2 linked regions of the Arabidopsis thaliana genome follow. The protein of the gene in region 1 purifies or fractionates together with the protein of each later gene. This does not show direct contact. Each region holds a gene or a part of one and is shown in the gene's direction. Other genes may lie near its edges.

Evidence for each region. The genes of interacting proteins can lie anywhere in the genome.
Region 2: the proteins of AT2G16930 (region 1) and AT3G18880 fractionate together in Arabidopsis thaliana (co-fractionation; one large-scale study listed by BioGRID). This does not show direct contact.

Annotation. Positions count from the first base shown.
Region 1 is NC_003071.7:7,338,999-7,342,752, forward strand, and holds AT2G16930 (Ribosomal protein L27 family protein), read left to right. Parts: upstream 1-2,079; 5' UTR 2,080-2,212; exon of another isoform or gene 2,213-2,490; 5' UTR 2,491-2,493; coding exon 2,494-2,590; intron 2,591-2,670; coding exon 2,671-2,795; intron 2,796-2,877; coding exon 2,878-3,120; 3' UTR 3,121-3,319; downstream 3,320-3,754.
Region 2 is NC_003074.8:6,507,462-6,511,202, forward strand, and holds AT3G18880 (Nucleic acid-binding, OB-fold-like protein), read left to right. Parts: upstream 1-2,038; 5' UTR 2,039-2,126; coding exon 2,127-2,288; intron 2,289-2,452; coding exon 2,453-2,608; 3' UTR 2,609-2,609; exon of another isoform or gene 2,610-2,784; intron 2,785-2,963; 3' UTR 2,964-3,241; downstream 3,242-3,741. Other genes in the region: AT3G18860 (transducin family protein / WD-40 repeat family protein), read left to right, coding at 138-214, 337-406, 612-677, 760-891; AT3G18870 (Mitochondrial transcription termination factor family protein), read right to left, coding at 1,054-1,878; Tic62 (NAD(P)-binding Rossmann-fold superfamily protein), read left to right, coding at 3,708-3,741.

The DNA of each region.
Region 1 (3,754 bases):
CATGCCAATAGAACATTACATTCCGATTAATTCATCATCGAAGGAAAAAACTAACAAGATCATCAAAAACTATTACAGAGATTCTACGCGAATATATAATGACATTGAGCTGGCAACGAACAGATTTGTGAGTACCGAATTGGAACCTTGGAGAAGAAGTGGTGATCGGAGGAAGATTTCAATCGATTACGTTTTTTGATCGTCTATGAATTGCTTTTTCTTTATCAGAAGAAGAAGAAGAATCGAGGAGAAAGATTGAACAAGGCAAGAGGAAGGAGGAGGAGCTCAGCGGCGTCAAGGGTATAGTCGTCATTATTGTCTCTAATTGTTTCTTTTTTTTTATGACATCCCACCAGGCCACTCACCGAATCTCAGCCGTTGGATCTGCTTACCAAGTCGCCGGATTCAGGTTCTTTTTTTTTTTTTGTATCTATCTGATTATTATAAAAACCAAAATTGCATAAGGTAATAAGAATTATATTCGTTAAAATATTTTGTAATCAATTTCGAATAATTGAAAACATTGATTGATAGCACTCTTCTGTTCAACTACGAATGTGACAAAGATAGTTAACTTTCTCTTGATTTCTAGGCTAAATAATTAAAAAATGTTACTACATTCTTATGAAATCTAACAGATATTGAGTCTTATCAATCACGCACAATATCGAGAATTAAAAATACAAGAAGCTGGTTAAAAGCATAAACATATAACAATTGGCATCTGCGGTTGAAAAATGTGGGCCTGTGTTCCAAACGTGGCCCAAAATAAAATAATCCCAGCCCAAACTAATATGGACGTGGCAATTTCGCGTTTAATTACCTGACGCTGTTAGCAATTTTGGGGTAGTGATTTTTGTGGTAAACATATTTTATTACCAAATTAACTCCAAAATTTGATTTTAAAAATAAATAAAAAACTGTAGCCTCGTTTTATTTTTCTTAAAGATCAAATCCAAATCCAAACAAGATTTTCAGAAATAAACCAACAAGAAACACTGATTCTTTTAAAAAAAAAAAGAATCTCTATAGAGGAGTATTTTGGAGTAATCTCATCTCATAAAAACTAGTGACTTGATCAGCAACAGGCAACAGCCCACATAATGGCTTGTCCTGGTGGAATCCTCATTAGCATTGGAAACAATCCTCTCCATAAGGCCAATAATCCTTCCTCTGCATAAATCCTTCTAATGGCATCACCCATCCCTTTATATCTCACCCCACTTTCACAGTCTCAGGTTGGTTTGAGCCATCAACCTCGTTTTGACCACATCAAATGGTTCGAGCAAAATGTATGGCTCAACTTTGAATTTGATAATATATTAAATTAAACAAAAAATTCAAATCAGAATTTTAAATTGAATAATTTATATATACCATAAATCTATATATACATTTTTGCAGCCATTTTGTGAAATAAATCATGTAGTTGGACTTATTTACAATGGCTGCCACTGGATTTTGATGTTTGTTTTTGATAATTAGAAAGAAAATCTTCGAATTAAATATTTGACATTTAACAATCTTTCCAAAATCTCTCCACATTAACTACACGATTATTTTCTAAAATAAAACTTCCAACATTTAATATCATTTAATTACTACAAAATTATCATTTTTGATATTGCTTTTCTCCATGACTATAACAATTGAGTTATAATAATCAAAGCAGAAATATAATTTGATAGCATTTAATTACTACAAAATTACAAAATATTTAGACAATAATTCATAAACATATCATAAATAAGATCAACATTAATAAAATAAATGGTTTTGTTTTACGGGACGGGTTGACGGAACGAGTTTAATAGGACGTTACTTAATAATAATTGTAAACTATAAAATAAAAATATTTTATAGTTAGATACAATTTGTAAACTTTTATATACTAACATTAAAAAATAAATTGTTTCCGCGGTATACCGCGGGTTAAAATCTAGTATATTTACATTATTTACAATATTATTAATATAATTAATTAATTAATTAATTAAATATATTGGGTTATCGAAAACCGAACCGAACCTACCTATTTGGGTTGAGAAAAAATACAACCGAATGGTTTGGTTTGGTTCGGTTCGGCTCTCTTTTCTCCAAACGCTTTTTCTTTCTCTCTCACTTGAAAAATCTCCCGGAGACCTCTCTCCTTCTCTCGCAGCCGACGATCCCATCCAAAAACCAAAACTCGCTCTCCGGTGATCGTCTTTCGGTCAGATTCTTATAAGCGTGCTTGATTTTCAAATCAAGTTTGTTTCTTTATCTCCAGAGTTTATCATCTCTTATGTGACTGTGTTGTATAGCTTCTTCTCTATAACTCCTTTGTGCTCCTTCTCTGGGAAATTTCTCTATTTAGAGTGCTTTAGGATTCGATTTCGTGTGGATCTGCTTTCAATTCGTTTATTCGTTGCGTTCCACTGAATTGAGTTTGTATAGAGTATTAATTCTACTTGAATGCTTAATGTTTGAATTGATCTCTGTTGCTTGCAGAAAATGAATTTCTTAAACTCAGCTGCATCCATTTGCAGAAGAGTTAGTCTGAGGGAACTCATCACTGAGGTTCCTGCTTATACTGGCAGCAGCATTTCCGGTATATGTTTTCAAAATCTCTTGTCTATATTTTGATCTGGTTAACTCATTTGTGTAATTCTTGTTCTTGGGATGTTAAAGATGGTTCTTCAAGTGGGTTGAGTTTGGTCTTGAAGCGTTGGGCTACTAAGAAAACCGCTGGTTCTACAAAGAACGGTCGTGACTCTAATCCCAAGTTTCTTGGTGTTAAGAAATTCGGAGGAGAGGTAAGAAACCAAACATTGACCTACCTAGATAACATTTGAGATGATCAAATCAATCTTAGTCTGTGTGTGTGTGATTTTGCAGAGTGTGATACCTGGAAACATCATAGTTCGTCAACGTGGAACTCGGTTTCATCCTGGAGACTATGTCGGGATTGGTAAGGACCATACTCTGTTTGCATTGAAGGAAGGACGAGTCAGGTTCGAGAAAAGCAAGATTACAGGACGCAAATGGATTCATGTTGATCCAATAGGTGGTCATGTTCTTCACCCTATCTACACAAAAGCCGCAGCTGCAAAATCGACTAAGTTGAACACAGCTTCATAGCAAACTCGACAATCTAAACGTGTCTTCGTTTCTTCTTTTAGATTATATGATCTCTCGAGTAAAAGATGATGGTATCTTAGAATATCAACACTCATTTCAATTACAGCTGCTGTTTTGTTTCCCTCTAGTCTCTGTTTGGATTCAACAAATCAAATTTTTTATTCGGAAGTAGATGTTAATCAAATCTGAAATTCTCTCATACGTGTTAGACAACATCAAATGGTCCTGTACCCAACAGACCTCTGACTGCCATGGCTGTAAGACTTTACCGTCGCCTTCATGTTTGTTCCACAAATTCTTCTCTCACGATGGTTTGAGCACAATGTATGGTTACATAATACTTGAAAAGCTCTGGACTGCATCCTTTCCAAATCGATATAACCGGTTATAGATAAACAAAATTCCCGGTTTCATATAGCTCCATTATGACAAACATTTTAGGGAAGAGGTGTGATGTCGACCGGTAAAGTAAAAGGAGTAGAGGCAAATGGAATGCTCAAACAGTTAATAGCCCATATAAAAAGTCAAAAGTCAAAAACATTCTTATGAAATCTAAAACATGTTCGCATAATACAAATACTGAAAGTGAAAGGTGTCAAAGTTTCCGTCACACACATTACCGAGACTTACAAAT
Region 2 (3,741 bases), on another chromosome or scaffold:
TAATATACATTGCTTTTTTGCGTCTGGGCATATAAATTAAGTTTCTAATTACATTTAAACATAAGATAGTGCCTATACATGTGTGTGTTTATTATAATAATTTGAGAAGTGGTTTTAATTGCTGTGGATCAATGCAGATTCTTGATGCCTTCTCAAACTGTTATTCATCCCCAAATAAGAATCTGCAGTTGGCTTATTCGACGTTGCTTCTCAAGTAAGATCTCTCTTATATTACTTTCTTCTAGTTGGATTTTTGCCAAATTGTAGCTTTATTCTATTATTAAACTCTCTGTGGAGAAAGATCAAACCGTAATCTATGCTTTTGTTCTTCCTCAGTTATGCAGTGCTATTAATAGAAAAGAAGGATCAAGAAGGTCAAGCTCAAGTCCTTTCAGCAGCTTTGCAGGTACGCCTAAATTTGGTTATTTTTAACCACTGTTGCATACATCCAAATCCTATTCATCGTCACCGAGTTGAATCTCATCTGTTTTTATTTTGTCTCTGTCACTTGCACAAATCTCTGAGATCAAAGTAAAATCGGAGAAGACCAATGTACCAAATAGTTTATTATCATTTTTTTGGTGCTAAAAATATTTAACTTATTACTACAGGTAGCAGAAGAAGAAGCTGCAGATGTTGATTCCAAGTTCCGGAGTCTGGTAGCAATTGGCTCACTGGTTAGTTTCCGCAACAACTAGAGTAACGTAATCCACTTGTTGTTAATTACATAATTTAATCGGTGTGTGTTTGTAACAACAGATGCTTGAAGGTCTCGTGAAGAAGATAGCGATAGATTTTGATGTAGAGAGCATCGCAAAATCAGCGAAGGCGTCAAAGGAAGCCAAGATTGCAGAAGTTGGGGCCGATATCGATCTTGTAATTCGTCAGTAACCTTAAAAGAGAGTCTGTGATCGAACCCGGGATTTGAATTTTCAATGATTCCCTCAAGAATTTTCATATGATTCAAAATCACTTTTCCTTGAAATGCAATTCAACTTTTTTGTTTTCAGATTTCTGAATACTAACATATGTTAAAACTTAAAAGATTATGGCTTATGGCTTCCATTTTGAGTAGAATTTTTGATCACCCCACATTAACATTCTACTAAGCGAAACCCTAACGTTCTTCTTCTTCAAATGCCAATGTCTTGGCCTTATCCTCTTCCCCAAGCTAAACGCAAAATACTGCGGAAACTTCTTGAGCTCTTCAAGTTCTCTTTCCATGTCGTAAACGAGAAACTCGAACTTGGGCCTCAAGTTATCTTCAACACTGTATCCGAATATCGCCGGGATTCTCCCACAGACTCTAGCTGCTTCCTCGTGTTCGAAACCTATACTCTTCAAGAATCTCATCTTTGCTCTTAGCTTCTCAACTCTCGTGTTCAGCACGTGCGCGTTCGTCTTGCTGGCTCGGTTCAGATTCCGTACCCCTAGCTCCTTAAGGTAAACAAGCGTCGGTCTCAAGCAATACTCAACGTCGGAGAAGAGGATGTTCGGGCAATTTACGATTAAGCCCCTGGATTCTTCTGCGGAAGCTCCAAGCTCGCCGGTGAGAAAATCGAAGACGGGATCGAGTTTAGAGATGTCGAAAGTGGGCGAGAAGAGCTGTGGACAGAGGAAAACGAGGCGTGGGAAATCTTCGTCGGAGATTCCTTTCGATTTGAGGAGATTCACGGCGGAGAGGATAACGGAAAGATCATTCGCCGGAGGAGCAAGTCGGGGATTCTGAGGAACAATTCCGAGAGAAGAAAGGTGTCTTAGATTTTCACGGTGTGAGGTTTGGAATTTTAGATAGAGAGGCTTAGAGCTTGAAGGAGAAGGAGGAGACGAGAAAGACGAGAGAGGTTGAAGATGATGAAGTGAAGCAATAACAGCCATATCGATGATTCTTCACTTCTTACTTCTCATCCCGGTTCGATTTTATTTATATCTGTTAAATAAACCAGAAATTAGCTTTTGAAGCGGTTTAGTATGAGGCCGGTTCTGTTAACTACTATACTTCATGGACCTTAATATAAATTGGGCTGAGATAACAAAGCCCATCATTATAAAACCCCTAGACCAGAAGAATCTTTTTCTCTTTGCTCTTTAGATTCTCAAAATCCAGAGAGAGCTCGTTAGGAAAAATGAAGGCAGTGATAGGGACAGTGGTGTCGAACAAAATGCAGATGTCGGTGGTGGTAGCCGTCGACAGACTCTTCCACAATAATATCTACAATCGATATGTCAAGCGTACTTCCAAGTTCATGGCTCACGATGAAAAGGACTCCTGTAACATCGGCGATCGAGTATTTTCCCCTTCATTTTTTGAATTTGATATACATTTGATCAAGAGCTCGAAAATTTAGGGAAGCTCTAGGAATATTTGAACTCAACCATTGGAAGTAGACTTGCCTGTTTGTTATTAGGCTGCTTTGGAAATGAAACTTGATTTGGTTGTTTGAAATATTAGGTGAAATTGGATCCTTCAAGGCCTTTGAGCAAGCATAAGCATTGGATTGTTTCAGAAATCATAAAGAAAGCACGCATTTATTCTCCACAAGCTGCTGCTGCGGCTCTCAATTCCTCAACCTCCATTGCTGAGCAGCCCCCTGTTTCGTCTTCCTAAGGTGATTTAGTTATTGCTCTCTAATTTTTTGTATCAGAATATTTTGTTTCAGTGTATTGTCCTTTGATACCTTTAGTGGAACTGCATGAGAATTGAACTTTGCTGTTTGACATTTGAGTTTTGATACTGTTTCTAAAGGTATGAGAGGCTATTGTGTGGCAATATAGCTTGTTAGGCATCTTGATGTTCCATTCTTAAGTTCTTGGAATCCATTTTGTGCTCCCTACATTTTCTGTGTCATACCCACTACGATTTATAGCTAGTTAGGCATCTTGATGTGCATCTACCGTAATCTATTTTTCTTACCTTTTTGGTTGGTTAGGCTTTAAAACTCTGACTGTTCCTCTTGCTGCAGTTTTGCAGTTCTGGCGCAAACTCACCCCAGGGTCGAACAATGTGGGTCGCAGACGTAGCACCATCAGAAACAGAGAATGTGGTAACTTCGAACATAATCCATCAAGCTGTAGTGTAGTGCTTTAGTAGATGATATTGATCAGATTTCGATCTCCTGATTACTTGTATAATTGATGAATCCGAAGTTACAGATTATCTATTGAAAGTTTGATGAATAATTTTCACTCTAGCGAAAAAAAGCTAATTCAAAAAGACCAACAAGTTTACAGAGATTGTGTTGGTCAAAATCTATTCATAAGTGATGTTAAGAAGACCAAACTTACTCATCTAATTGGATATAAGCATTTGGAGAAAGTAAACGCCAATATGTAACAATGCATATAAGAATCCAGCGCCAAAAGTATTCAAATTCTAATGTGTCCTATGAAATGATTCTGGTTTGGATCCAAGTTTTGGAACAAACCAAACCGAATTAGCCTTGCCATGTCAGCATACTCCAATCAAACATTGATTGGTCTCTTGTAATGTTATGTGGGTCCCATCATATCAAGATGCAGTGGCAGACGCAGTAGAACTCTTGCTGAGTCTCAATTGTATCCATAAAGATAATAAAATTTGTATATTTCCTCTTTCCTCTGAGATTCCTTTGTCTGATCGTGAACTTGTAGTAGTGTTTTCGTGATAGAAAATTTTCAAAGTTAATGTGCATACACTAGCTAGTGAAGAAGAAGAAGACTAACTAAGAATGGAAGGAACTTGTTTTCTCCGTGGACAACCTC